Drosophila melanogaster: one gene and its partners. The protein of the gene in region 4 interacts with the protein of the main gene of each other region in a pairwise test. Each region holds a gene or a part of one and is shown on either strand. Other genes may lie near its edges. The genes, in order: Cpr92A, Pus7, elB and CG14369.

Region 1 (7,120 bases), 6.0 Mb from region 4:
CCTTTTTCAAACAACTGATAGGAAGCAAATCAATTTCAAAGATACAAGAAGAACCAGCTAACAGTTTTTGGTTAGCTTTCATATCATTTTAAAGCTTATACAATAAGTGTTTTAAATGTAAATTTCGAAACATGCAATCAGTTTTAATTTGTATCCTTATTTATTCCGATTTCTTGTGTATTATTTCTTAATATTATTTAATATTAATATCTGTGCTAACTGAAAGTGTGCTGCAATGTTTTTAATTAAAGAACTATTATTAAATATCACTGTCTTTATACTTTTATTTTGTTTTCGGTTGGTAGACAACAAGACCTTCATAAACCTAATCATATGCTGACGAATACGATCACTAAATGGACCACCTTTTCTATCTACTTAATCAAATCGAATCGAATCTTATCCACTACCAAAACCCTCAAATATATTAGGTAATCCACAACATTCCAATGAAACTAGTCAAATTACACTTGGATAACTCAGATATACTTACGAATCAAATGATATTGAAAACTGCTTTAAAATACCTAAATACCACAAAGAACTAATCGAATCGATACATATAGATGTCTATAACTTGATAACCAAAATCGTACAATACTCACATCAACATAAGCAAAATATATATCCGAAAGAGAGTAAAGTTTTAACCTAGATATGCCATAGATGGATAAATATTTATGGATATATCAGATATTAGCTATATATTGACATGAAACTCTTTAGTTTATTTCCTCTGAAATTCCACCTTTAGTTAACGAAATTATACAAAAATTAGGAACGAAAATAAGGACAATATGGAAACATTTTTAGAAACTGTTATCATTTATGTTTCTCATCTATCAGCTTAAATTATCTAAGCTAGGTTCACTTTTCACTAGAATTTTCGGGCACTTAGTAAAAAATGCAACACGACTATACTATATATAGAAAGAATTATTTATAAAGAGATATAGCTATCAACAAAATGCAGTTAGCAAATTATTCAACCACTTCTGTGTAGTAAAATGTCCCAACTATGAGTATTTTTCTAACCCAAACCGTACCAACCCAAACCGAAACCGAAACGTAGTGTGGAAAAGATGTCCTACCAATAACCAATCAAGTTTAATAAATGAAAACCCTCCGTTTCAAGTTATAAACAAATGAACCAAAATCGAAACAAAAATGCTTAAGTCAACTATTTAATCATTAGTGAAACATATCCCATTCAACGGCAAATATATAAACTTTATATGGGTAAAGCCATCTCTAGGAGTACGTAGTCGAGGACGAATTTAAAAGCATCAAGTCTAGTAACTGAGATCTGAGTTGAGAATAGCCAAAGCTGCCATTTGTTTGTCCACAATTTTATATACTGACAACTGATATCAAGCAACGCAATTCAAGCATATCCCGAAATAGTCTTCATCATCCAGTGGTTGTCTACAATAGATTTTTACCTAACGCGAGAACCGACGAGGAAATCGGACGGAGAAGTCCGAGACGAAGCCAAACAATCAACGAAGAAATTATGAATTAAATATTATACAATTGTCAAGGAATACTGTGAGCTATATTAGCCGCTTATTTATATTAGCGGTATGTACACCGTATATTAGTCTCTTATTCTAAGCAGATTACTTAGCTAAATTGTGTCCAACTGTAAAGGCCTCTAGAGCACAGCACTTTTGTATGGTATATCAGCCTAAAGACCCTTAGTTTAAATAATCGTACACATCAAATCAATCAGACGGATAATGATAGACACAAAGCCCCGAGCTTGGCAACTAATCGTTTTTGTTGGAATAGAAGCTTCGAAATTAATTTAGTGGTAGCAGGCATGACTCAATTGTACCTATCTTTTGATACCGTTTATTACAAAACTAAGGACTATAATCGTATTTAAATTGTATACCTAATCGAGTGCAGCGAGACCAAAACGCACTCTGCACACTGATGAACTTTTGAAGTCGGCTGAGGAGTACATAAATTTATATCGATATCGAAAACATTTCAGTATGTTCTACGAATGGTAGCTCATAGAACCTATTAAACATAAAACATAATACATAAATAATAACACATTATGCATTGTAATAAACTTATTTATAACATACGGTGACATACTCGAAACGTTTATATACAACACACATATACATATTTATACATAATCAGAAATTATACATATGAGATATGCCACATACGATATCATATAACATATACATATATGAACCATTGCGAAAAGTTGATACAATAAATAAAACACTCATCAATTGCGTTAAAACGTTGTTTTTTAAATTATTTAAAAACTTTTTGTGGGACTATTTTCTTCTTGGCTTCGGAACTTCAATCTAATAGTTTCTAGGGAAGACCGCAAACAAATTTGTTAGGTTTTTCAATTCTCGTTTTATTTCCTAGACTAACCATTCAACAACATTTTCTTAAAGACGTGTACATAGGCTAGGGGTAACTTAGAATCAATCTACATGTTGGATCGGTATCAAATCCCTCGAAGAACACAGAGTAAGAGATTGAGAGTACAGCGTTTGGCACAGATATAGCCGGAGTTTCAGTTTTGGGTCAGTGTAAGCTGCGTGCGATAGATGAAGTCGAATCAAATCAGATCAGATAGTTGAGAACCTTGGTCCCTCAGTGATGGTAGTAGGCATGGGGTTCCACTGGAGCGGGGGCCGGACCTGGAGCCGGATAGTGGGCATAGGGGCTGTGCGCCAGGGCGGGATAGGCGGCATGGAAGTGGGCGGAGGGCAGGACTGGAGTAGCCACTGGCACAGACACCGGAGCTGGAGCAGGAGCGGGAGCGGGACCTGGTGCAGGAGCGGGAGCACCACGGTGGTAAGGTCCTAAGGCAAGAGGATACGAAAGCAGAGGAGCCTTGGGCACCGGCGGAAGTGGAGGCGCCGGAGCTGGGCCGTAATGAGCTGGTACTGGAGCGGGTGCAGGTGCGACGACGGGTGCCAGGTGGGCTGGTGCCTTGTAGGCCAGCGGCTCCTTGCGGACCACCGCATTGAATCCGTGATGGGGATCCGCTGTGTAGTCAACGGTGCGTTTGGTTCCATCCGGATCCACAACCGAGTAGCTGCCCTTCACCACATCTCCGTGGCGCGTCTCGTGCTGTGACTTCAGGTCACCAGTATAACCATCCTGGATGTCGTAGCCAAAGGAGTACTTCGGGTCGGGATCGTAGGGTTCGGGAGCAGCCGGCTTGGGCGCCACATAGGGACCTGGCAGGGGCCCATGCTGCGGTGCATATCCTCCATAGTGGTGCAGAGGTCCGGGACCAGCTGGACCGCCATAGTATGGTCCGGGTCCAATCACGCCCGCATAGGCGATGCCGAGCATGGCGCTCAGCAGGGAAATCTGAAAAAAAAATTAAAAGAAAATGTTGAAAGCGATTAAATTGAAATAAGCTTTAAGTAATATGAGGACAGGGAAGAATTGTTTAGAATAATTCTTGGCAATTAAATTTAATTTAAATCAAATCACATATTAACTCGGATCATTCGACGGGTTTCATTAGGACTTAAACTATCTTCTTTATGCACTAATTTTCTTTGTATGAATAAAATATAAGCTTTTAGTAATAGGAACACTTGGTTAATTCATCTTGGCATTCCCCTTGAGAATATGTTAAATCGGCTTAAACTTGATTGTCCAGACTATAAGAGCACTTTGGTATCCTTTGTTTTCACACCTTCAGCATAACGATGTCCTTGCAGGGGTATCCTTTCCACTCGCTCACAGTTGTCACAGACTCAGCAGACACCACACGTAGAGAGTGGCCGGAGTATTGTTGGTTTCGACGACGATCGCGCTAGAAGAAGTAACCAAAACTGCAAGCGTTCGCTGGAAGTTCTGGCCATTTATACTGGCAAACGGCGGCAAATGTCGCCTGCTTCACATGGCGCAGTCGAGGCAATAAACTAATTTCAGATCAAGAGAGACCCGGCCAGACGGAGTCTTCGGTGTCTTGGGCCAGCGATCAAGCACATGGCGCGGACCAGTACTGCGGAGCCACGGGGGCGGGGATTGACTCTTGCCCACCTGGCGGCAAATCGTGTGCCTGGCTTCAACTTTGGCGCAGTTATCGTGTCGACTTAGAAAGGTTATTCTTCCGCTAAACCATTTAAAGGGTCCCCAGACCCCGGAGCCAATCCAACCCGAGCTTTGCCCTTTCACTTTTGCGACGTTTACGATTCGTTTTCGATTCGCTTTTCAATACCCGCTTGGACACCGACTTTTGGCAATTATGTGAAAATTTATTTTGCCGCACACAATTGAAATGTTACATTAACATTGGCTGGATGTTAGGATATGCTGCATTTGGCTGCCGCGTAATTAGCTAAGAAGAACAAGCTGCACCGGGCGATGTTGAGGTTCCATATGAAATGGCAGTTGCAGCGCATGCGCAAAAGGTCAGGTGGTCCACAATTGAATTAAGAGTGCCTGGAGTGGGCCCAAAAGCCAGAGGCTCACCGAAGAAGGGGGGCGGAAACAGGGGCGACTGGCTCGCCACAACAGCCTAATAAAGCAAAAGGTCAACGCGCTGCTGTCGGCACATTAGTCTGGCCCACAGACCAGGCCAAACAACCACTTGCAGTCTAGGCAAATAATGTCATTAATAATACCCTTCAAAAAGTGGCATGACGACTATATAAGGTTACTCATGACTGATCCTTCAGCTGAAGACTGGTTTTCTGTTTGATCTTCCCCTTAAATGGTTGCTACGTAGCGGAGATGCTAAAAGCTGACTATGATAGGACACATTGTAATAGGAATACTGATCAGTTACATAGTTTATAATCAATGATAAACTTGAGATAATTTCTGGAAGGACCAAAAAAGTTTGCAGCTAGTTCCTAAGAGTGCCTGATTAGCCAAAAATACCCTTTCCAGCCTCTAACGACCAAGTGTCTGCGACAATTCTCATGTTTACCGTTTTGTGAGCTTAATTTATGGCTGCAAATTTGTATCTGGCATCTGGAAAACTATTGACATCTGCATGCATTGTCTTACCCTTGCTGTTACCATCGGGCCTGTTTATGCGACAACTAACTATAACAAAGAATCAAAGTCGTGCCAACCGCCGGGCCAGTCGATGTCAGCTGTTTTAACTATTTTTAGCCAGAAGATCAAAGCAATTGATCAACAAGAATGGCAGGCTAATGCTACAAAGTTGCCAATATGGCTGAATGGAAAATCTAGTCAATAATGGATTAGTTAAGCACAATATTGGTATGTATGTAGGTATTTTAATTGCAAAAATTTTGTTTCGACAAAAACTTACGCGATAGATGTGACATCTCCTGTAGATATTTTCCCAATTACAGGGCTCACAGCTGGCAAAACATTTGACGGTATATCTGTAATTTTAAAACCCATCCAGCTGTTTTAGCTTTATGAAACATATTGCCTAAAGCCGCTAAAGATAAATTTATGGCTATTCCCAGCGCAGTTTAATTTAGCTTCTGGTCAGTTCTCAAAGGGAGTTGGAAGTAGTCAGTCGCTTTGGAAATTTTTTATGTCATCGAAGCAACGTCTGATGGATTTCAGTCAGGTTCTGGATAAGTGTGGAAACTATGGCAGGTTCCAGGTGATGATCCTTTTGCTGTACGGCTACACAAATATTCTTGGATCACTGCACTACTTTTCGCAGACCCTTATCACCTTCACACCAGAGCATTGGTGAGTGTGGACACAAAATGGGTGATTGGTCCCGACCATGTAATATCCAATCTTTCTTATGCAGGTGCTTCCATGCTGACCTTAATGGTCTCAGTGTTGAAGGGATTCGCTCGGTATATGAAAACATATCCGCCTCATCCTGCACGCCCCTTTTGGGCGTAGTCAACGGCACAGGTGTTGTATCTACGAACCGAAAGTGCAGGAATTGGATTTTTAACAGGGAGAGCGGCTACGAAAGCATTACCACCGAGGTATGAAGCCATTGAAAAACGTTGTTGAAAAGATTTACAATATAGAAAACCCACTTCAGCTCAAATGGGTTTGTGACAAATCGCATCATCCAGCAGTGGGCCAATCCTTCTTCTTCATGGGCTCAGTCGTGGGCACCATAATCTTTGGCTATCTGTCGGATCAAGTAGGTCGTCTGCCTTCCCTGCTGATGGCCACCTTGTGTGGTGCAACTGGGGATTTTATCACCTCCTTTGTGCACACGCTGCCCTGGTTCGCCTTTTCCAGATTTATGTCAGGGCTATCCACTGATACCATGTACTACCTAATGTACATATTGGGTAATATAACTTTAAATCAAAATATAAGGTTAAATTAATCTACGTTCCCCATATCGTCAGTCTTTGAGTACTTAAGCCCCAAGAGCCGTACCTTTGGCCTCAACATCATCTTGGCTGTATTCTACTGTTTTGGACTGATGACCTCGCCCTGGGCCGCCATTTGGATTGGTAATTGGCGACGCTACCTTTGGCTGGCATCTCTTCCAGCACTGGGTGTCCTTATATATCCATTCCTGATCTGCGAAAGTGCTCAGTGGCTTTTGACCAAAAGGAAGTACGACGATGCGGTGATTTGTCTAAAGAAAGTGGCCAAGTTCAATAGGCGACATGTGGAGGAGTCCGTTTTCGATGAGTTTGTCAAATACTATCGGGAAAGGGAACTTCAGGATTACAAGCTTAATAGTCACGAGGACACTTTCTTAGCCATGTTTTTGACCCCTCGGTTGCGTCGATTCACTTTGACATTGCTCGTGAAGTCGTAAGTTCTTTACTTTTGGATCTTAGTGCATTATTTAATGCCTTCTTTCGGTTGTAGAGTCATTATAACCCTCTCATGCGATGTGATTAACCGGAATATGGAGGGCTTAGGCACTTCGCCCTTTAAGCTCTTCTCCTTCACATCGATTGTATACCTCCCAGCGGGAGTTGCTATCCTCTTGTTGCAGAACAAGATCGGACGCAAGGGCATGGCCTGCACCGCCCTCTTTGTGGGTGGACTTATTACCACGGCGACGGGTTTCATGATAGCCCACTTGGATCCCACGGAGAACGCCCTGCTGTTGGCTATCATGGTAGGTCTGGGACGATTTGGAGCCACCGTTTCCTACGATGCGGAAATACAGTATGCGGCGGAAATCATTCCGACC
Region 2 (9,091 bases), on a different chromosome or scaffold from region 4:
ATATCCGAGGGGATGCCGCTGCTGTTGTAGGAGCTGTACAGAACCACATCGGCGAACTTTTCGTTCCTAAAGGGGAAATATGATGCGTTAATATAGCATATCTACGTATTTTGTAGTACTCTTGGAGAATATTGAAGAAGGGTTCTTAGAAAATGTGTGTTTAATCCTCTGACCCTGATACATTTAATGTTTTTAACATTAAACAATTAAAAACGCTGCTAGATCACAATTACAAAAAACAAAAAACTTCAAATATGTACCAACTATGGTACAGTGGTACTTACTTATAAAGTGTGGCTATGGAAGAGTTAAGATAGGTGAGGTGTGAGTCCCACTTAAGGTGATAGTTTTCGGCGGCCATCTCTGCGGCCGGCAGCTCCTGTACAACGATAAAATCAATAAATAAATCAATAAATGCCGCCAGTGGGGTGTTTATTTTGAATCTCCCGATCCCACCACACCACCCAAGGAGTGGTGAATAGAGGGTTTAGCCACCATGCTCTTGTGACAGCATATTTCTCACACGAAGCAACGGTCATACTTATTCGCTAGCTTCCATTTGTTTACATATTTTCATTTGTGTTTATTTTGAAAATATCAAAATGTCGCAGTTCGACACGCGACTTATTGAGCTGGTTAGGGCTAATCCCAAGCTTTATGAGCGCGAACTTAGAAACGCACCCTACGAAGCGCATAAGAAGCGACATCCGGAAATCTGGAGCAGCATCGCCACTTCATTAAATTCAGAAGGTAAGAAACTGATAAATTGTATAAATATTCCCTAATTCCTCATTATATTTTAACTTAGCTAGTGCCTGTGTCAGTCGTTGGAATCATCTGGTGGCCAAACAGCGTCGGGAGCTGGCCAAAGAAAAGGCCGGAGGCACTGGCTCCGATTGGAGTCTTCTGCCGCATTTGAAATTCCTGCAGCATCACCACCATCCGATTAATCACCGAAATTCGGGTGATCTGAGTAGGAGCACACTGAAATCCAGCGACGAGGTCAACGATGATGAGGATCCGCTCCAGGAGGCCATGGATGAGCAGCTGGCCGTTGCGGGAGCTGCACCAGCACCACCCACAAATCCTGCCCATGCAACGCCAGTGGCTCAAGCAGAAAAGAGGATAGAAGCCCTGCTTGAAGGACTGGGCGAAGCAAACCGAATTAAGGCGGAGAAACGCATTCTGGCCTACCTATGCAAATGCAATCTGCGCGCCCTGAACGACGAGCAAATCGATGATATAGTTATTTAGGAAGATTGCCAAGATGATATAGTTATAAAGGAAGATTGCCATGATGATAAGTTAAATACATACATGCCGTGATAGGATATCAAAAGTAGCAAACATCACTGATCATATAATTGTTTAATAATTAAGTCATTTTTGTTATAGTTTATATATCTGGACAATTATCTTAAGCGAATACTAAATAACTTCTTTTTCCAAATGTATGCTTCCCTAAAAAATATTGTTAATCCATTCATTTAACCTAATCTTCGCATCTAATGAAGTTTACTATACAAACTAACTATTGCATTGTATGATATGATAAAACATTAACACGCCTGTGATTAAATAGTTTATTTTATTTGAGGCTTAAGATTAGCAATTTAAAATTCAAGACAACTGGTAAACCCCAAACAAAGCATCAATTGTCGCCAGAGGTCATTTATAGAGCCAGAGACTTGCGGGAGTGTATAGTAATGCAGTAGGAAGCTATCTGTGTGGCAAAAGCCAACTTTGAACAGGCGGGCGGGGAGCAGGTGGAGTAGGCGAGGGAAAATCGAATTGAGCCACGCCAAAAAACTCCTACTATGACGCAGCTGCTGCTGGGAACTGGTCAAAGAGTCAAAGAATGCGCGCGCAAGCAATAACATGTCCAATATCCATGTCTGGATCGGATCGGGGGAAGGCCTCCAGCACGGGGACAGGGCGACGACGACGCCAAAACAAGCATTTAGTTTATTAATTTGACGACTGCCGCAGGGGGAGCAGTGGGCCGAAACAAAAACATAACGAGCGAGGAGCGTCGTGCACCCTTAACGACTGATGCCACACTACCACTACCCCCTCGTACCGACTGAGTCCCCCTTACTTCACACGTACATGGTGAACCCTCCGACGCACTAAGCCACTATATGAACCAACTACTCCTACGGCCAGCCACCTACCCACTAGACCATTCCCATTCCCAATCCCCGGACTCAGCTCTTGGTATTAACACCGTATTATCGATTGATTTCCAGCACAAGCACACAACAAAAATCAATAGGCTGCCAGAGCCAAAATCAAATATTGTACAGTTCTGTGATTGTTTAGTTCAGTGTTGTCGTAAAAGTTATAAACAATTTGTAGACTCGAATGTATACTTACGCCTTAATAAATGGATTTTCAAAGTACGCGCCCAAAACGTTTAAATGCTACATTTAACTGGAAATTCACCTTGTCTCGCCTCTTGGTTTTTTTATTTGGTTTAAAATCTCTTTAAATCACTGGATGAATTGGATGGAGTCCGTGGATTTTTGGGGGACCGTGCTTGTTCGTTATTTGTTGTCAATTAATAATTTGTTATTGCTCTTCATTGAGAACGCTGGGGAAAACCGTGCGACTTGGACTTTTGAGCTGGGGAAACTGCGCAGCGCGTCGCTTGAGCTTTCGCGTTGGTGGCCACCGAACGAATAAAATCGCAGTCAAAGAAACAGGACCAAAAGGACTCTCCCAGGCGAGAGAGAGAGAGAGAGAGAGAGCGATTGAGATTGACGGGGTGCGAGCCACGGGATGCGACAGTGAGAGAGAGAGAGAGAGGGAGCAGCCCTCGTCCTCACGTGCGCATTGTTATTGTTGTGGTTGGTTCGAAGTTGGATACGAAGCGCGCGTAAAATTGATTTCCTGAGCATATTGATTTTCGGTATCTCACTTGGCCTACACCGCCTCCTCGGCCCCCTGAGTTTCCGCCTGCTCAGTTTCCTGCCCATCCTCGTCGGCCACCTCCTTTACCACCTCCATTTGTTCCTCCTGGGTTCCTACCGCCTTCTTTTCATTGTCCTCCTTAGCCATTGCCTGTTTCTCCAACTGCGTTTGCGATGCTGACGATGTGTCCTGCTTTAAGAGTTCTCGCAAAAACATGGTGGCATAGGCAGCCGTGGGCAGCGAGAACTCCAGCAGGAGTGCCATGTAATTGGCCTCAGCTTCAGCTGGTTCTGGTGCAACCGGAATGTTCTTCAATAGCTCCCAGTCGGAGGCGATAAGTGTATCCTCCGGCGTATTGTACATTCTAAAGCTCCACTTGAGATCACTGGACGATATGATCATCTTGCGGTAGGCGCCAGCCAATGCGTATGTCTTCTCCTTGTGCTTCAGTTGATCCGAGGAAAGACCCACTTCGGCGAGCATTTCCTCGTACCACGCGCCGCACTCGTTGCTGGGATAGGTGATGTCGTGTCCAGGCAGGGGAAGGACCACATCGCAAAGTTTGTACTTGCCGCTAGCGATGTCTTCTGCTGTGAGCGGGCGAACCTTTCGCTTGAAAATCGACTCCTCTTCGATGGCTTCATCCCCTTCGGGGACTTCCAGAGGTTCATCGTTAGGCTCCTCTTCTTTTTGCTCTTCCAAGGCCTCGCCCTGCTGCGCCTGCTCTTCCGAGGCTTCCGACTGATCCTGCTCCACATAAACCAAATCCCCGGGTATCAATTTCAAGCCGAACTCCTTAATTCGTCTAGACGCTATCCTGTTGAAGATCAGGCTTTGGTAAGCATGTGGATATAGCATGAGCATGTTGCGTGGTATCTGCCGCAGAGCTGATGAGTAATCTGATTCACCAAATCTGGCCAAGCCGTCCAGCAGCTTCTTTTCGATGAACTTTTCGCCGTAGATCTGTGCAGCTGCCGCCGCGGAGTCGCGATTTTTCCACCACTCCTCGCGTATGGGACGCAAAAACTCCACATCCGAGTCCCGGGGTTTCAGGATCAGTTCGCAGGCCAGTTTGTAATCGTGCTTGAGCAGAGCAACACCCACCTCATAGGTTGGGACACTGGCGCTGTTGCCGAACCGCTGCAAGCCATAGTAGTTGATGAAGCCGCGTTCCTTCAATGATTGCAGTGCCTGCTCGATTTCTTCTCGCTTCTCCTTGGCAATGTGTCGCAAGGCAATACGAAAACGATTGCCCTGCAAATCGCCTAGCTTCAGTGTATTGGATTCGAATCCAAAGTTGCCGATATGAACATTCCGTTGGGAGCGAGCTGCAACCAAAATGCTCTCTGGTGTACGACGCTTGACGGAGAACTTCTGGGTGGTTTTGGCCCGCTTGTCCTTGATGCCGCTGTAGTTCACCTGCGATGGTCGTAAGCTGTAGAAAAATAATGTTTTCTTAGTATATTAAAGCATTTAAAATTTGATCAAACTTACTTCAGTCGCGCTGCTAAAGTAGAGGCCACATCGCTGGTAACCAAATTGGTTTTGTGCACCAGGAAGGTCACGTAATCCGCCGGAAAGCTCCAGCGTTTGTCACCTATGGAATTCGATGCATAAAAAAAGGAATTCCCTGGGTAATCATTTCTACTAACCGCGTCCTGGCTTTGGTTTAAATACTTTTATAGTCTTCTTCTCCTCTGCCGGCACCTGTGAGTCTTTCTGGGTTGAGGTTTCACCTTCAGCCGCATCCTTATTTTCCAAAGATGCCTCCTCCTGGACCTTCGGCTTAGCCTGCTGCTGTCCAATGGTTGTGGACAGTAGCTTGCCCTTGTAAAGCTGTTTTATCATCTGGTGGACTTGTGTTCGCTGCTCCTTATCCAGAGTGGTCACATCAATCTCCACCTTTTGCTCGATCGCGGGATCGTTTTTGGCCTTAGCCAGATTGGCTATATCCTGCCAAACTTCCGGGCCGATTACTGCCTCCAGTTCTTTCCGCCAGTTGTCCAGTTCGTTTTCGGCCACAGCTGTTATAGTATGAGATGCATGAGCATAAGCAAGTATGCAGGATAATTGGTGAATACAGACCCACAATAGCCACTTTAGGCACACTGAGATCGTTCAGTTCCAGAACCTTTCCATTGCTATCAATCTCGTTCACGTGAAAATCAGAGAAGCGAGACTTAAGTATTCCCGTGAAGCCAGGTGCCTCCGGGTTAGTGAACTCCGTAATGCCCACTTGGGTCTCCAGCAGCGTGGATTTCTGTTGTGGAGCACTTTTGTCCAACGAAAAACGCCGGTTAACAACGATATTATTTATGGGATTTAATTTGTACCTGTTGCGCTGACCGCCACCATTGTTTTGGGGGCGATCCTTCTTCTGACCACGCCAGTTGCTCTTGTTGTATGGCCCGGAATGGTTATTCCTACGTCCTCTGCCCCGATCCTTGCCCATCTTGGTTCAAAATTCGCGTTTGAAAATTTGTCGGCAAATGAAATCCACGTTTTGCACAACATATGATGTGCCCATTCACAATAAGCTTTTTAGGTTTATTAGGGTGGCCGCATGTGCCATTTATTCGGGAAATAGATTTCTTAAATGGTTGTTAGCATAAGTTCATCCGCAAATATTCCTCTTTTTTTATATTGTATGATAAATATAATTTAAAAACATGCTTAATATTAACATATCATAAAACTTTTGTTAGTATATTTTCCTCATTTATACTTCAGTATTTTTTGGTATTTTTCTGGTCCCAGATCAAGTTCACACTGCGTACGTAATGTAAAGAAAATGTGCAATACAAAGAAGCATTGGAAAGAAGTGTAAAAATTGAGAAATAACCAAAAATTGGAACGGATTAATTCATTAGGTTAAGCCAAGGAAGCAACGAAATGTTGCCGCATATAAGTGCCGACGAGGCACAGCCGTCTATGTCGCGAAAGGTGTACATCAATCCGAATTTTCAGCTGCAAGGTCAAACGGCGCATCAGCTGCCGTTCCAAGTGCCCTTCCAGGCGTTCCAGGCGCCACTGCAGCCTCAGCCCGCGATCCATATCAATCCGCACTTTCTGAATCGCCAGCGGGCCATGTACGACCAATACCAGCGGGAGCAGCAGGAGCAGCTTATGATGCAACAAGTTTCCGCCTCGCACTATCGACTGGATCCAACGATACACCTACTGGCGACTCCACCTCCTCCGCCCGCCAAGATCATCAGCAAAGTGAGCACGTGTCTCGTGCGCAAGCCATCAGTGGTGGCAAGTGGTCCGGCGGTGAAGCTCGCTGCTTCAGTACCTGTGCCCACTGTTTCCAGCCTGGTGCAGCCTCCATTGGTAAGCATTTCCAAGCGGAAAATTGTGAGGCAAGGAGCATTGAAAGCAGCGCCAGCGGTTGCTGCCCTCCATCCTCCTCCACCTGCTAAACGCACTAGGTACAAATTAGTGCGTTCCATATCACTTACCTGCACACCGCTGGTCAAAAAGCGTCGTCCTCTACGCGAGTTTGTGGGCCAGTACGCCCTGAGACGCACCAATGAAGCGCAGCCCAACAGAAAACTGAGGTAATGAAAATCGGATACGAGCAGTTGAAAATAGTCAAGCAACAGGCGACTCTGTTAGACAAGGTAATGTACATCAACTAACTTAACTTTTATTACAGCTCCAAGCCGCAGGCGCTGAAGCTGGGCGTTAACAAATCCCTGAGCATGGTCAGCATACACGGTGTGATGTACAAGAAGATATCGAAGAACAAAATAACCAAGCTGGATGCCAGTTCCTCCGCTAGGGTAGCCAAATCGGAGAGTCCCAGGACCTTGCAGCGTACCTTGTCCGGCAGAACGCTCTTCGTCAGCGGCAATAAGTTCATTTTAGATCCTTCCGGCTGCCGCCTGACCAGAGTTTCAACCTCATCAACTGGTGCTACCCAGAGTAGCGTAAATCGTAGCATCCTGAGGCGCATCGATATCGGCGGCCTTACCTACGTTGCTTCGCCAAAGGCACTGAATGTCTTTGTACGCACCAGTAATCACGTGTCGCGAGCCCATTTAATCACCGCCAAACAGAGAAGCCTGACGTTGCTCAACAAATCGTTGGTGAAGACCAATGTGCCTTGTGCCATCTTCCAGAAGCTGGGCAAGTGCGTTGCCCATAGTCGTGGCAAGTGCCGCAAGCTGCACGACAAGCGGCAGGTTGCCATCTGTGTCAGGTTTGTCCTTGGCCAAGCGAAGAGTGCTAAACCTTCGATGGCGTCCAATGTTCGAAATTCGCAATGCGGTTATCTTTTTGAAATCATTTACTTGCAGCTTTCTGCGCGGGGAGTGCACCAAACCCAAATGCCTGCTGTCCCATAATGTCACGCTGGAGAAGATGCCCGTCTGTCGGTACTATTTGCGCGGCGTTTGCGTTCGCGAGGATTGCCCGTACCTACACAAGAAGCTGAGCAGCAAGACCGAGATTTGTATTGACTTTGTGCGCGGCTACTGTCCGTTGGCTGCCGAGGTAAATAGGTCTGCCACTTATTTTCATTGAAAACCTATTAACTCCAAAACATTTTAAGTGCAACAAACGTCACGAGTTTTCCTGTCCCGAGTTGGAGCGCAAGGGCAAGTGCGAATTACCCAGGTGCGTGTTCTGTAAGAAGTCGCCATCAAAGCGATTGGCCAAAGTCAAGTCGCGTCCCAAACTGGGCAGTAAACCTGTCGCCTTCACGGATACCGCGAAAGAATCGTCTACAGCGGATGAGTTGCCCACCAGTTCACGCTACTTTGGGTCCCACAAGGAACCAGCGGAAGCAATATTGACTAGAGATGATGTGGAACAGAAGAAACCTGAAGCGGAGGATGAGGATCAGAAGGAAGCGGGTGCCCCTTGCCCTCGACGACGTCCTCAACTGGGAACTCTACCCTCTTTTATTCCCTTAGGTGGCGAAGAAAAGCTATAAGGCTATGCGAAGGCTATGGACCCAACGTTTCAGGTACAAATTAATTCGGTTAAGTATTGTTTTAACGTTTAGTCTAAGATTTATCTTTAGTAGCTTATTTTCAAGTTTTAATAAAATATTCAAAAAGACAAATTTATTTGCGTAAAATAAATAAAAGATACATTTTATTGGTTGGGTATATATTTGCTACGCTCGAGGAAAATGTAAACATTTGCATTAGTCGTTTTATGTTGTTTATGTATATAAATTATTAAACTAAGATTATTACCAAAATAAATCACAGTTTTTTCGCGGTGTATTCAACCATCTGGCAACATGCCGATCGTGCAGTGTGACCAGGTGGCACCACTTGTTGTTGGATTTTGTGGCGCCACATAGTTGTGTACCTGTTTTTAAGCCGCTCTCTCGATTCGAGTCTCGATTTTCTCGCCACAGTTGAATTTTGCATGCGGCTCGTACAACACCTGAACAACAAACGCGGATTCCGTTTCGAGCAACAACAAAAACAGTGAGTGTGTGTTAGTGCTCGTGCGTGTGTAGCGGTGGCTCTTGCAAATTTATTGCTCACCAGGCCAAAAAGAAAAGCGAAAAGGCTGTGAAGTTACCAAAAATAAAATGCGGACCACAAACATGGGAGATTTGCGGCAAATGGCCTTTGAACTCGTCCACTGGCTTTGACATCTGTTCGCGATCGGGAATTTTCGAAACTCTCTTTCACACAACGTCTCTCATTCGCTTCGTCTTGGTCCAGAAAACCAGGCCAAAACCATTTTCCAACCGAATTTTTGTTCAATTGTGCACTTGTGGCTGTTGGTACATTTTTTCCGATACGTTCTCGCTTTGGTGCATTCCTAACTAAATGCTACTAATAACAAGAGGAGAAAAAAGAGAAAAAAGGAAGGCAATCCGAAGATTGGCCAAAGAGGTGAAAAAAGTTGCTTGACTTGTTTGACCCGCGTTTGTGTTCCAGTGTGTGTGGCTGTGTTGTGTGTGTGTGTGTGTGTGAGTGCGACTTCTCCTTCTGCTTTTTCCTCTTCTTCGGATTCTTGTTGTTGGCCCAGCCGTATTCTACATAAATTACTGACCAAAATGACACCAAAGAGCCATAAAAATGTATTAATAATTTATGCAACCTCCGCTTAGCTGCATAAATATGTAAAATTACATAATGTGCAGCCAAAAGTTGCGATAAATAAGCAAATAACGGTTGCATATATTCGCCATTAATCATTTTGAGTG
Region 3 (8,557 bases), on a different chromosome or scaffold from region 4:
TTGCTGGCCACCCCCTTCCACCAAATCGATTATCTCGGGCCATAATTTGTAATGCCGCGACTTAACTCTATGGAGAAAAAAAAAAAATACATAAAAAACGGGTTATTATTTTGCGGTTTAAGCGTCGATTGCAATTCATTATCATAGTTGCCGCCTCGCGTGCATTTAAATGAATTCATTGAGTTTCACCCATTCAATTTGTACATACGCAAGCATTTAGCTTTCAAAATGATATTTGCCATGAATGGTTATGACTATGGTTTTGAATTGAAGGTGGGGTTTTCGGAGGTGTTGCCAGCACGATTGGATGGGGCCGAGTTTTAACTGATAAATGCCGTTTAATTGTTACCCTAAACGGCAATAATATTGTTTGTCCGAATCGGAAATACTGCGTTGGACGCTGCTGTTCGAGTTTTATTGCTCTTTCTATTTCTTACTCGATATTTATAGTTGCTTATTAACGAAATTGGATCGTTAAATTTATGGTCTCACCATAAAATGTCATAAATTTATTAATGATCTGCCGCAGATATCGATCCAGTGACTATATACTTTTTTTTTAAGTCTGTTCCTAATCGGTTTCTTATCGCTCCGCAAACCCAAGTGTTTTCCAGATAATCTATATGAAATTCAGTCCAATTGCAATTTCAACAGGCTAAGCTATTGTTAGACAGATCGATTGATTGATTTGTTGGAATTTATTGTGCATTTTGATTTGATTAGGGTACAGTACATGATGCATAAATGTGACTAATGCTTTATTTATAAACGCTGATAAGAGGCAGTCTAAAAATGAAATGATCCGTTTACTTCAGGCGGGATTTTATCGACTTCCTGAATTTTTTTCATACTATTAAACGATCATTGTTATTATTTAGGCTTAGGAAAATGTATACACCTCGTGTAAATTGACTTTTAACCCAGCCCAACCCCAATTAGAGTGCCATAGCAATTTCGCTGTACATCTTGTATCTCGCTTGTCTGTCTCGCATTTCACATATTTAAAATGTTCCAAGAATTAATTAACACTTTGGACAAAAACTATTATTTGTGTGCGAGTACAAAAAATTAACATGACAGCTCTAGACATGGCAATTTATCACCGGCATAACACGTTGGAGCAACTCTGCTCGACTCATTTGTTGTAGCCTGTAGCCAGGCATTTCAGCTGTTGATGACACTTTAATTAGAGCCACACGCAAGCACAAAGCCCAAAGAATGGCCCATTGGGGGCGAAAATTCGCAGGGGAAAGGCCTGAGACGGAGCCGTTATGTCAAGCGCACACTTTAACTGCCAGATCCGACCAGTTGTGTTGGGTTTATTTGGTGGCCCAAACCAAACCAAACCAAACCAAACCGTACGCTGCCAAGCAGCCTGTGGTTAACTGAAATGAACGTCGGACTGCATAAATGGCCGCTTGACTGACACATTTAATTATATTAATGATGTTTGCGGTCAGCTGACATTTGCACTTTATTTACCTTTTTCTGCTGCTCTGTCAGTTTAACTGTCTGTCTGTCCGACTGACTGACTGACTGACTGGTCTTGAGCTCATGTTAAGCTCTGACATGAGCCCGCGCAAACTGGAACCGAAGCTGACTTTCACGTTCACGTTCACATTTCAGATTTCAGATTTTGAATTATTGCCCAACAGATAGCTCAGCAACGGTCGCATTTATTTCCATTTTGCGACGCCGCTGCCTTCTTCGGTCAAAAAGTTTTGTAATTTTTCAACGTGTGACAGCAAATTATCAACAGTCACTTTGAAGATCTCTCTCTTTCGGTTTCTGTGTTTCTGTGTATGTCGCTGCTTTTATGGGGCGCCACATAAAAGATATACAAATGATGACACTGACAGCTGTCAGGCTTAGTTTATTTGATTTTATTATAATTAATTATAAGCAGCTGCCATTAATCATTGAATAATTTATAAGTTCGCAGATAGTATCGCAGATAAAGCACAAAAGAAGAAGGTTAGTCAGTCACCGGCAGACACGTAAACATAAATTAACTCAAAGTGCCGCGCGTAAGCTCTTAAGTCTCTAAAGAAAAACGTATTAGCAAGAATATTTGTTCATTACAGTACTAATAGAACGTCATAAATAATTAGTGCGAGTATACTAATAGAACGTCATAATTTACTGATCGACAGAATTTGAGATTACATCTCGTTGCTTAAAGACGCAACACTTAAATTTTAATGAAACCCAGATTCACAGAATCTGTCAGTCACTTGGCACCGGAACCAGTTCATCATTGGGCCTCGTATGCATATACGATCCGTTGATTTATGGGTTTTGCCTCATTTGCGCCACTGAAAAGCTTTCACACGACCAATATGGAAATGGCTGGGCTCTACTCTCCGAAATCAGTAAATCACGTAGCTCCGAAAACGCTATTTCAAATTACCCAGTTAATGAATGTACTCATCGTGCTGGTGCCATAAACTGCTTCCGTTCTTTACGAACAAAATGCGCTCAACAAATTAAAATGAAAATTTATGAGTCTCACGCCATTTCGAAGAGAGATAGTTTTGGATAAAGTGAGTGGGGGAAATGGGGACCACAACAACTTTGACTCTGATTAACTGCCATAGTTCCTCGAACTACGGTCGTGTGTGTGTGTGTGTGTGCCGGTGTGTGTAAGTGTGCGAAATTGCATTTGTTTTCTGTCATTATAAATTCAAATTTGGCGCGCCATAAATTTAGATACAATTTCCAGAGGTGCACTCGACTCTCTAAACACTTTCAGACGGAGGCAACTGGGCTGCAGATTTACATAGTTTAATATGAACAAACATAAATAAGTTTTATGTGCAGATATTGGAGAATTTATCGTTTTACGATTGTGAATTCGCTATTTGCCTCTTCCCAGACCCCGCAAAACAGTTCCGTTTTGCCAGCACATGGCCCAAAGTCTTCTGGAAGTTTGGAGGAGGTTGTTCGTTTCGGATTGGTGCCGTAGTTTCATACATATTTCGCCAGTGGCGAGTGCTTACAGTCGACATTTTTATTATATATGAAATATGGCTCGACAATCTATTTCAGATGTCTGAAATGTCGATAGTTTGTTATTCATAGCTGCAAGTTTTATAATCGAACGTAGCGAATTGGGTGTTATTGCTAGAATTTGTACTACTCTTCTTATCCTGTTTAAACCATGACTATTCTGGCATTTTTCTTATTCATATTTTGATATATATAGAACTTAACCCTTAACAAGATTTGTTCTACTTAACGATCGGAACACCAAAGTGAAATAATAATCTCTGAAGAGAGTGTGAAGAATGCGAAAACAAATAATACGAAATTTACGTCTTCTTATCAACATTTAAGAATATTATTAAATTTTAAGACCAATCAATATTTGAAATAATAGTTTTAATGACTTTTAACCGAAACTGTTCATCAGATACCTATCCCTTTCAATTAATATTTTATCCCATATTAGATAGCTAAACCAACTCACTGAAAAAGAAATCGCAATAATCACTGAGCTGTATTAGGCGATAAGCGCTAAGTCCATATAAACGCAATAAATTTCTGATTGCCGAATAAAATACCTTGTGAGAATTATCCCCAAAAACCCCAAAAATGAGACAAAGAGATGGGCTTACCGCTGTTGGGGCAGCTGCAGCTGTCATATAATCCGGTCTTAAATAATGATGATTGCTGGATTGCAGCATTTTATTATAATTTGTTAAATCCACTTTGACGGCTTTTCTTTGGTGGTTCGGTGGAGGTGTTGAGTGGTTGTTGCTTTTGTCCCGACCGCAAAGTACGGCAGTGCGCTTAACGGTAAGTGCCAATTTATGTGGCGTGTGCTGCCAACTCGTGTGAAAAGCGGCGCCTGCGCCTTGCTTGAAATATTTTCCAGCTGCCTGACTTTTCGCTGATTAAGCCGTCCACGTTTCGCGGTTCTCGTTGATGTGAGTACTTATTTATGATAATTTATTATTGTGTTTATTTTTTATTTTTCCTCTTTTTATTATTTATTCCGATTTCGATTCGCAATCGTTATTGCTGATGCTTGCTGGGCTTTGTTTGTAATTCGATTTCATTAATAATTCAGTGCTGTGGCGCAGGGGGGATTTCTCATGCGTCGAGTTGTGACTTTCACGCCAGCGGCATATTAATTTGTTGTTGTGATATGCTGGCTTCGCTTTAATTGTGCAATAAATTCATTAAGTATTATAATTGCCTCAGCGGTATTTATTATTTATATGTGTACACGATACATATGTGTGTAAAAAAGAATTTACACACTACTTTCTTTGCTGGCTTGCATCTACAATATTTACGTTTGATTCACGCATGGGCTTTTACAATGTATTCATTTATGGGTTTTCCTTTTGTTAGATATACATAGGTATGTATGTACTTTATTTATTTCTTTGGCTTGGCCGTTTTTGGTTAGTGGTTTCGCTCGAATGCCTCGTTGAGGGCGCGTTTTATGATGAGGCACGTACGTTATTAGATGGTTCCGGGAACGTGGGGTTATCCAAAAGTTTGCTATTTACTGAGCTAATTTTGTTTCACATGTATACTTTGTTTTAAACTCAGTCTAATTTTGATAAAGCACAAGGATCACTCGAAAACGACTTAAAAAATAGGCGATTGTGTTGACTTTCTCGTATATATTTTGAAAATTTTTTTTTTTTTGCGTTTGGGGGAAGTGCATATGTATCCGCCTGGCCGATTTTACGCTTTCGCACTCACAACACAACACTCCGGTCGTAGCAGTCCGTCCGTTCAGCGCACGTACGAACTTTAAACGTGAAATAACGAAATTCGACTAAAAATCTATAAACAACATGACGTGCACGCTCCTTTTCGCTCTTTTCGTATCACCCCCACTCTCCAATCGGCTCTCTCAGTAGTTTCGCGCTCGCTTGAAAACCAGTTCGCTCTTTGTTGTTTGTGGCCGTTTTCGTTTTCAACAAGTGTGCTTTTGTTGTTGTCCGAGGCCATGCGCTCCCCTTTTTCTTAGGGCGCGAGAGCGAAAGAGCGAAGTAGTTGGGGCACGAGAGCAAACGTTTTTAGTTCTGCGCTCTTTGCTGAGCGCGCATGCTTTTTGCTGAGGCAGCGAATTTCGCGTGGGAGCTGAGAGCCAAAAAGCGTAGTAGAATTGGCGGTTAGTAGTAGACGGATACTATGTGACGGAGAAGCAGTGTTGACGATGGGAAGTAACGGAAATTTCTGGATATTTTTGAAAATGTATATTTCCGCTTTAAATTTGATAAATAAAATGAAGGGTAATCACGGTACCCGGTTGTTTAAGAAACATTTTTTTATATTATACTTATGTACCAAGAATTATAAGGATTTTTTAATATTATTAAATAAAATCTTAAACATTTATTATACACATAGTAGGGAAAGATTTTTGGAAATTTGTAATTCTGAGCACAAGTAAGTTCACACTTAGATCAAGCAATAAGTTTTAAATATTGCGTATACGCCCAGTTGGAAAGTTTTTCTTTGCGCGCTATCATTGAGTACAAAGCTAAAAAATTCTAGAAATGTGTAAATAAAATATTGGAAATTAAAAATAGAGCCAACACAACACACACAACGCTGGGCACACCGACACCAACACGCTCATTGGACGATCGCCGCTTCTGTGTAGCCATTTTGGGTAATTTTGTTGCTGTTGTTGTTGTTTCACAGTGTTTTGTGGGGAATTTATTTCCACACATGTGTGTGCAGCCATGGCGCCTGTGTGCGTGTGGAGAGCGGAACGGCGTCGGCCATAATTGTTTACGAGCAGGTGGGCGTGTGTGTGGCGCTCGTTGGTGTGCCAGTGTGAGAGTGTGTGTGAGGAGGGGTTGGGGAATGTGTTAAAAACTGCAAGCCGAGGAAATATGATTTAGAGCACCAAACGAGAGAACCATTTCCGTGGAGAGAACACGATTTGGTGTATTTCCCTCACTTCGCAGAGAGAGTTTTCCCCACTGTAAACAGAAAACAGCTGGCGAAAATGAAAATCTCGGGTTGCACATGATGACGGGAAATGTCTGAGACGAACTTATCCCTCATTTTGCACACTGAAATCAATTTTAGTTTCTCACTTAGATGCTATAAATGCAATAAGAATGGAATGTTCGAAAGTAATATCGTAACATCTTTAACATTAAAAAATGTTAATAAAAAAAAAACAAATTTGTAATTCAAGTTTGCCGATTAAATTTCTCTTAATGCTTAATATGTACATATGCAGTTTAATATCTAAATCATAGCTCCCACGTTAGGGCAATTTAAGAAATCAAATATAGGAGTCATAATCTCTGGTTAAATTGCTCTATTGGGTCCGCATCATCGTAAAAAGCAAAAATGGTCGTAAAAACACAACCAAGACCACGCAATTGGTTAAATATTCAAAAGGCGAAATGCTGCTCTAACTTTATGGCATTAAAATGTTTAGGATTTGAAAGAGAAATACACAATTATACTAATCGTGGCGCTTTGAATTAACAATCAATAATTTACATATTTCGGCCATATATTGACAGCTGCCACTGCTGCTCCACGCCTTCTTGGAGCATTTTTGGTGATGCTCTCATAAAATGCCCCCGTCCATTGTGGATTTTTGTCGTGTTCATTAAGAAGCTTTTGAAAGTTTCGCCTTTCAAAAACCATAAAATGTTTATTTAGATGCCACTTTAATGGCGGACAGAGTCAAACGTTTTATAGCTTCCTTTTGTTTCACAATATGGTTTTAGTTTCGTTTTCGGACTTAATAGACTCATTTCTGGTTTAACACAAAACAATCGAGTTTCAATTAACCACACAAAAAGTATATGTCGTTTTCGCTCTCTGGGTAAACCACAAAATTAAGTGGCTAACAGTATTTTGTGGCCACAACACATTACAAACCACACAAGCGAACTGAAAAAAGGGAAATTATAATAGAGAGCCGGGTTTGCCCATATCCTTTTTTTTTTTCGTACGCGTTTGTCTGCCGCGCCCAAGCGAATATCCCCAACAGACAAATAAGCGGGGGTGCGTTTTTCACGGTGCGGGGGTCGTTTCCGTTTCGGGCTTTTGTTAGCATTTTAGCAGTTCATTTATGCGGCTTACAGGACGAGGAGGCGGCACATGTGACCGGAAAAGCCCTTTTAGTAACACAAAATGGTCACCAAAGTGGTTGAGTGCTTGTTAGTTTGCGGGATGTCTCGGGAATAATTTGAGATGTGACAATGGGCTTGGAAAAACTTCCTCATTACTATTTGACTATATATTTACTAGTCTTTCAAAAGGTATCTATAAGTATGCAATGTTTTGCTTCAAATAAAAACCCCATCGCTTTTGTAGAACTCGCTATACTAAATGTGTAAGCATTTGTTTTATTAAAACGTTTAAAAGTAGTTCATCAATATTAATGTATTTCTTTGTTGAAAGCAATAATAATAAACTAAAATGCATATGTAATTATCCGCAGTGCTGCCATTTGTATGCTGTACCCTCTTAAGAGATGCTGCAGTCCTCGGCTGCATCTACTTACCCGTTGCTCGATTGCAGTTGAGCTTTACCCCTTGCCACGCTTTCTCCTATGCTTTTCATCTTTTTACCCTTTGGCCACATTTTCCGGGCGACTTTCCCGTTGTATATGTGTATGAATTATGTGCTGCACTCTTTTTTAACCCCTGGCATATTTTACAAGCTGCTTTACTAGCCCCGTACTTATACTTTGCTCTCCAATAAACATACAAACGCACTTACCCAGTGTTTGTACATGGATGTCAGGAGTGTGTGTTTGTAGGGTTTTGTGTTTTTTTTTCATGCTCGTTTGTCGTGGCCTCAAGTGCGCTGGTGAGTTCATAAATTTGCCCACTGGGGCGTATGAGTAATGTGCCAAAGGGGCTTTGCTTTCTTCATGTAGAACTGTGTGCAACACACACAAAAACGGTTGGGAAATGAAAAAATCTAAAAGCCATAGTCCAGCAGGCAACATATGCAGCCTTCAATTTAATATACTTTACTTTCAGAATTTGTTTTCAAAAGGGGCGAAAAAGCTTAAAGCAAAATAATGTAACTAAGCTGTGTCTATAGATTGAATTCCGTTTATACAGGACAACCCTGACTACGTTAGCTGTTAGAAACCTCAAATCTTTATAGTTAATTAAAATAAATTAAAGAAAAACATTGTATTTTTAATACATCACGAACTTATGTACACCATGTTCTGCAAGCTGCTAAGCATTTCAATTTCCTTTTCTTTGCAATCTCTAAGCATCTAATGTTTATTGCCCATTATTATAATTGCGCAATCTTTGCGATGCAAAAGGTGTCCCGGTCTTGGGCCAGTTTTCCTTCAGTTGGCCACATCCGGTCAACTGGCGGCGTTTATCATAATTGCAGTTCATTTGCATGCCCGGGAAAATGCAGTTCGCTTTTCACATGTACACTTTTTGCCGCTGCTGTTGGTGCTCTCTTCATCTTTTCTGCTGTCGCCTGTCGCCGCCTCTCATGCGGCAACAGCAACTGTCGCCGTTGCTGTCACTTGATGTCGCAACGCATTAGAATATGTTGCATGTTGCCCCTGTTGGCCCACTAC
Region 4 (6,798 bases):
ATTGCAGTTCAACTGTTTTAATTGAGATGATTTATATATCGTTATGCGGCGAACGAAAAATGGTGGATGCACTTTTCATAATCTTTAAATACCGGAAAATATCTTATCGTGTTTGCATAAGGCCTGTTTAATTAAAGTACTTGTATAATTTTAATTAAAAAAAGGTAATTTAATACCTGGGCTTAGATAAACGTGCGTGAAAATGTTGAACATCGAGTTGTGTTAATTTTCCAAGTCTTTTAAATTATTCTTTATGTTGGTGGGGGAAGGGATTTCACGCTGCTGTGAACTCCTTCTGCTCAGAAATACCTAAGCTTTAATCCTTTCAATTGTACACACACAGATAGAGCCCACAATTTCGCAGAATTCAATGAACACAATGGGTTCATTGCTTGAGGGTTTAACTGGCTCACATTTGCACTTCTTCCGGGCAACTTGAGGCATGGCACGTCATTGGGATGGGGTTTTCCTTTTGAGAGCGTATTCAAGGATTCTAGCTTATTATTCACATGATGCTTTGCTTGACCGTTTCCTGGCCTGGCCTGCTCGATTGGCCGGCAGTCGCCGGAATCTCTTGGAATCCGCATGGTCTTCCAAGAATCTCGCTTCTTGACCAATGCCTTTTATCATTAGTTTCTATTTGAGTTAAGCTCTCCTGCACTGGCTGGGCATTTAATTAACTCGACTGAAAGTTTGAATTTGACTTGCGTAAATTAATACATTGGCCTTGTTATTGGCCTCCTGTTGAACACTGGGCGGAAAATGGGTACCGCAACTATGCCTCCTCATCCCCGCCCCAGTTACCATTACTTGGTATCTGCGGATGGATGAGCTCTCTGGCTCTCTGGCTTTTTGGGGGAAAAACTTCACTTGCCACCGAGCGAACCCTTATCAACTTTTGCCACTGCGTTCAGCTAACTTTGCTTATAAATTTCATTCGAGTCATTTGTTGACACACCCATACACACGCACTCAGCCACAGAAGTAGATAGTGATAGCAGGAGAGACAGAAAGAGAGAGAGAGAGAGAGAGAGAGTGGAAAACTCATCGAACATAGATAGCACGCAGACAAATGCACACAATACAAAAGTCGCAAGTCGCGGAAATCGCGAAAAGTTGTTGAAGTTATCTGGGCAACGCAATTTCTTGTTCTCGTTTCGCTGCCATTGTTTATAGTTCGCCTTTGTATTTGCAAGTTTCACCCGAATGTGCAAATAGAATTAAAATACGACGGAGACGGAACTAACCCAATTCTGATTTCTCATTGCAGGGGGTTTTTTAGGTTAGTTCTTAAAATGGGGGATATTGGCTAGAATATCGAAATGATAAGTATTCCACTTTAGAAATTAGTTACAGCAAAGTGCAAGGTACATTTCAGATGGTTTGCACATGTATGTATAAGACTGGCAAAATGTTATATATTTTTATTTTATAAATATTGTTATTTAATATTAAAATATTAATCATATTAATATAATTTAAATGTTTAAAATAGCAAATACCCATTTATCATAGCGAACTATGAAGAGTATCTTTAAATCTGGAATATCTAGTTTAAAAACAGCTTAGTAGTTACTAGGTACCACTCATTCGCTTAACCCTTTTACCATCGTTCTAGTGTCTACTCTGTGCGCATTGCACTTGTTAATCGGGGATAAAAAGTACCCGGTGACACCCACAAACAGCGGGCCATGACTTTCTTTTATAACAAATATATTCATTTCATACTCGTTCGGAGGCAACAAATCGCGTGACATGCTGACAGCGGTACTTGGCCCTCGTGTTGCTGTTGTTTCTGCTGAATTTGTTGAGTGGAGAGTGTAAAACTCAACTATTGTCTTCATTTTTCTTGCAAATCATGCAAGGCAATCTAAAATGTTGACACATTGGCAAACACATATGTGGTTGTATGTTCACGCCGACATGGGCAAATCGGCACATATTTATATATTGTAGTATAGGGGTGAGGAGTACAACGGCAGCCAGGAACATTGTACACAAAAGAGGGTAAGAGAAAAAAAAGAAAGAAAAAAAAAAAATATTTGGCGCCCTTTTTGCCCATGTCACTCAAGTTCAAGGTTTACACGCTGTCGGTTAAGGTTACGCTTTTATGTATTATCGCTGAATTGTCACAAGTCTGCGCTTTGTCTCGCAACGAGCGCTTTGAAAAATTACAATAATTGTTATTTACGCATATCTGAACATGAAATGTGTCAATTGGCAGCCAACGAGCTAGCAAAGCGAACGCAACGCAATGAAAGAACGCAACAACGTGGCGTATGCGTAATGTGTGAAAAGGGACACAAGGTCTGGCACTTTTGTCGGGCGGCAAATGAGTGGTATTGGGTGGTGTTCGGTCGGAATGGCAGTAGTGAGGGTATTTGCGACGAGCATCAGACAAATGCTGTCAAGCCTTCATAATTTGGTTCATAAAGCGATTTAGGTATAAGCTTCGAGAGGGTGTTGTGAGTCCCTGGTCAAGCCACAAAGCCACATTAAATGATTTTTCTCGGTTCGAGTAGGTTAAATAGGTTACATAATCCTAAAAATTCGTTTTAAAATTGCACCTTTCACATAAAACAGCAACATGAAAGTATCGTGTTCGTATTGATTGAGTTATACAATTTTCCCGGCTTTATTTCATATGACTTTTTGCAATCGTGTTTTGACTGCTCCTGAATTTTTTATAAACAAATTTTAATTGCCTCCAATTAAGATACTTAAAAACGAACACCTATCGCATTGAAAATAATGTGCTTGGTTTTTCATTTAAAGTTGGGAAAACATAGCTATAGAAAAAAAGTTCTGCATAATTTAATGTTAATAAATCTATTAGCAGTATCTTTATTTATATTAAAATAAATAACATTAGGGTATCCAATCTTCATTGCATCTGCTGTTTTGAGTTCCTATGATTCTATACCACATTGATTGGCTCGACTAATACGTCACATTTGTTAGAACCTTTTTTTTGTCTTCAGCTCTTGTACTGCTTTTTATTGGCCACCAATTTTTTGCGGGCGTTCTGAATGAAGGCATTAGCATTGGCTTCAATTAGCGAGCTTTAAATTTAAAAACAAACGCCAATGGTGTTGGCATTAAATTCAATCGAAGTACTCACTCTACATATAAATAGGAAACAGCGGCGGCTCTTTGACTGGCAGTTGTGTGGAAATCATTGACGCGGTTTGTCGATTGAATTAAATATAAATATCATATTTTCATCGTTAAATTAAATAATTAAATATGCCATTGCCATTGCAATTGCGATTGCTGTTGCTGCCTCTGGCGATGATTTTGCTGCTGGGCACGCACTTGAGTGGCGCGTCGGCTGTTGACAAGGATGTGGCACCAGTTGGCTATGTAAAAACGGATTTGCTGTCATTGGAGCAGGAAATTGGCGGCGCTGCGGATTCGCAGCGAAATCTGCTTCCGGTTCGTCGAAGGCGTGGCATCTTCTTCAGCGGCAGCATCGGCGGATTGCCGTTCCTCAACTGGGCCAGTGGCTATTCTTGGGCATATCCTGGCTATCCGTACAACTACTATGGCTCACCATCGCCTGGCTATTATGGTTATGGCAGTGGCTACTATCCCGGCTACCTGGGCTATCAGAAAATTATCATCGGTTAATGCAGATTTGTGAGAGAACGAAAAGACAGAGCGAAAAATCGATTAGAGAACCCCTTTTCAATGTGAGATTATAAATAATGGCCAGGAAGGAGCGGCGTCGACCCTTTCGCAGTTTGTTATTTTACTTATTGTTGGTGCTTTTAAATTAATTTGCCGGACACAGGGAAAAAGTTGAGCTAAGTTGAAGAGGTGGGGCGCGTATAAAAAAAAAATGAAGAACATGAAATTGCACAATTTATATTCATTTTGCACAGATTTTGCATAAATCATTTCGCAGCGACCAAAATGAAACGCGTAACATAATTTTTAACCCTTGATAATTTTTTATGACAAGCATTTTCGTTATTTTCCCTCCGTGGGACCACCTTATTTGTTGCTGCTGTTGTTGTTGTGGGGCCGCAGCGAAATGCAAATAAAGCGGATCAAAAGTTTGCTGTTAAAAGAAGATTAATTGCAATTTGGTGGCAAGACCTGAAACATTTCGAACCCCACAACAACCCATCGAAAATCCGCTGCCCAATCGGCGCGGTGGGCAATGGGCGGTTGGTAATTAAATATTTTTAAGCTGTAAATGGTTTCCATTTACGTGATGCTGTTCTTATTTTGTATTTGCAATCAATAAAATTCATTAAACGCACAACAATAACAACCAACCAAAGAAGGGAACCAGCCAAATCAAATAAAATACATTCCTCAACGGTCTTAGTTTCAATTGCCACTCCACCGGCAGTTGTAAATTGTTACTCTATTATAAGTGCTGTCCTGCAGTTGTTGCAGTTTCGCAAGTGGCTATTGTTTATTCATTCAGATTTATAATCATTTTATTGCCGAGGTATGCTCAATTTTTTAATCAATTTACATAATTTATGCCCTTTTTATGAACTTCACTCCCAATGGGATCAGATGAACGCATTCGGTTTGTGAATTGTTGAAGAGAGCGCAGCGGAAAATGTTTCAGTTTTGATAGTTGATCTGCTATAATATTGAATTATCGTTATACAAGCAGTTGTCACGTTGTAAATCATTAAAAATTAATTATCGATTCAACAGGACTGCTGTAACAGCAATGGTGATTTTTGCCTTAACAGTCTCACAAACTCAATGGAAATGCATTTTTATATTGCCTGCTAAATGTTAAAAATGATAGAAGTATTAATTAGTGGGCGAATTGAAATAATTGTATCCATATATAATTATATAAAACTAAATTGATTTATTTTTTTGGTCATACATGGACGGATATTTAAAATCTTCAACATACATTAAACCATGATTTCAATTTAGAGTTCTGCTTAATATTTCAAGAGTTTTAAAATTACTTTTAGTTCTATACGATAGGGAAACTTTGTTTTAGTTAATTAGTATTTGAAGGGACTTTATGCTTAAATATCCTAGTAATTAGTAGATAGATAGACACATGTTTCGGGCACTTGGCTCCCATTCCCAAAATCCCATGCTTACCCCCTTTTTTTTTGTTAACCACCTGTAATTAATAGTTTCGTCTGACCACCTTTTTCACGCACAAGAATGGGCAAGTGGTTGTGAAAAGGCGGTCCAAATTGAGGGTATTCGAAATTTTAATAGAGCTGTCAGATGTGCCACGGCCACTTTTCCAGCTTTCCGCTTTTCCGGATGGGCGGGAACGACCTCCAGCCGGCCAATCAGTCATCCGGGAGCTGCCTACTCCGGGCACTTGTGCCCATTGTGCTTGCATTTTCATAATTGAAACGAGGTCAAAACCAGCGAACCTCATTAAAAATTGAATTGTTTAATTTTCATTTGATTTAATTAAGTTATTTGTTGGTCAATTAACCTTTTTTCCGCCGGTCGCTGTTCCGTTTGCCATTGTTATTGTCTGACATATCAATACGATGTACTATACAGTTTATATATACATAAATATATATATATATACAAACATATATATACTTTACATACAAATATGTCGGATGCAGTTGTTTGTGCTGACATTATATTGTTATTGTTGTGATGATTGCCTTTTAACGCGCAGAGTGGGCACTTGCAATTATGTTAGTGTGTGTGTGTCCTGGCGCCAATGTGTTGAAATTTATTAATTAAAAATACTTTTCAATTAAAGTTAATACGCTCAGCATTTATGTAATTCTATGTGTAAATACGCTGTAAACTCTTCAAACAACATTTCATGCAAATACCATGGCCAGCCAATTAAAGGGGGTTTTTTTTTGTTAGTGCAAAAAGGGCTTCTATGTATACCATACCCACTTTATTCAATGCGCTATGTCAAGTGTCTAAAGACCACTTTTTCTTTGTAGTCTTTTGTTATGGCCCGGTTATTTTTTACTTAGCACTTGGCGAGAGGCTTAAACTGCAACTCAACTGCGAATCAACTCCGCCGTAGTCTGAAATCCGGAACATGGAACACGGGGTCGGGAAAACGGAGTACGGAGCTCGGCGTACGGAGGAGTCTATCTCATTATGCTCAAATGCACTTGCAAAGGCTGGGAACTCTGGAGCTGCTCACAGGGCGATAAACAATATTCATGATTATGAAAACTTGTGCGGCGTTCGCTTTCGCACTTGAAATCTGTGAAAAGCGAGGGCGGTTTGCACAGATCAAGGGCTCGAATGGAGCACTTTTGATTTAAATCCTTTGGCCTTTGTTCTCGGCCAAGTGGCGATGCCGGCAAATTATTGTGGCATTCTTTTGCCAAAGGAGTCAGTGGGTTTATTGTGCATATCTAATACTACAACAATGAGGTAAGACATAAATAATACATTATCAAAAGTCCTTTAAGTTAACGCGCTACAGCGCACACACACACTTCTTACTCCTTGAATCCTTTGGAACAACTCCATTAGCCGAACGAACGCACTCGGTCGGCTTCAAATAATCCAGAGCTGGCCATTTTCTCAGCCAAAAGCTCCCGGCAGTGACCATAGATACAGTTACAGATGCGGATACAGAGGCAGAGATACAGATACACGGATACGGTGCGACATGTAGATGTGTACATATATTTTGGCAAAGCATCGAGCAGTCAGTCCTTGCCGCAGAGGCCAACTGAAATGAAGTGTCATTGTGATAGAGCAACGGCACTGCAGCGGAATCAGTTTGGTGGAGCTAGCTGTGCAGCTCTGCAGCTGGCAAGGGACGGACGCAAAGGATCCCCAGGACCCGACCCGAAG

What was found.
Region 1: the proteins of CG14369 (region 4) and Cpr92A interact in a two-hybrid assay, tested with the Drosophila melanogaster proteins (one large-scale study listed by BioGRID).
Region 2: the proteins of CG14369 (region 4) and Pus7 interact in a two-hybrid assay, tested with the Drosophila melanogaster proteins (one large-scale study listed by BioGRID).
Region 3: the proteins of CG14369 (region 4) and elB interact in a two-hybrid assay, tested with the Drosophila melanogaster proteins (one large-scale study listed by BioGRID).

Annotation. Positions count from the first base shown.
Region 1 is NT_033777.3:19,595,132-19,602,251, forward strand, and holds Cpr92A (cuticular protein 92A), read right to left. Parts: upstream 3,825-7,120; 5' UTR 3,704-3,824; coding exon 3,695-3,703; intron 3,361-3,694; coding exon 2,632-3,360; 3' UTR 2,371-2,631; downstream 1-2,370. Other genes in the region: CG7333 (uncharacterized protein), read left to right, coding at 5,543-5,685, 5,750-5,936, 5,996-6,254, 6,315-6,732, 6,790-7,120.
Region 2 is NT_037436.4:8,506,359-8,515,449, reverse strand, and holds Pus7 (pseudouridine synthase 7), read right to left. Parts: upstream 5,448-9,091; 5' UTR 5,366-5,447; coding exon 5,247-5,365; intron 5,187-5,246; coding exon 4,999-5,186; intron 4,938-4,998; coding exon 4,566-4,937; intron 4,511-4,565; coding exon 4,408-4,510; intron 4,349-4,407; coding exon 2,926-4,348; 3' UTR 2,443-2,925; downstream 1-2,442. Other genes in the region: CG6765 (uncharacterized protein), read right to left, coding at 1-66, 285-361; CG6683 (uncharacterized protein), read left to right, coding at 603-750, 809-1,254; ZC3H3, read left to right, coding at 5,806-6,473, 6,572-7,117, 7,215-7,410, 7,469-7,852.
Region 3 is NT_033779.5:14,404,751-14,413,307, forward strand, and holds the start of elB (elbow B), read right to left. Parts: upstream 4,800-8,557; 5' UTR 3,687-4,799; coding exon 3,618-3,686; intron 1-3,617. UniProt on the Drosophila melanogaster protein: May negatively regulate Notch-induced cell proliferation in the eye-head primordium. May act in leg and wing primordia to negatively regulate body-wall specifying genes and thereby promote appendage formation. Required for tracheal development.
Region 4 is NT_033777.3:13,589,108-13,595,905, reverse strand, and holds CG14369 (uncharacterized protein), read left to right. Parts: upstream 1-3,248; 5' UTR 3,249-3,291; coding exon 3,292-3,630; 3' UTR 3,631-4,274; downstream 4,275-6,798.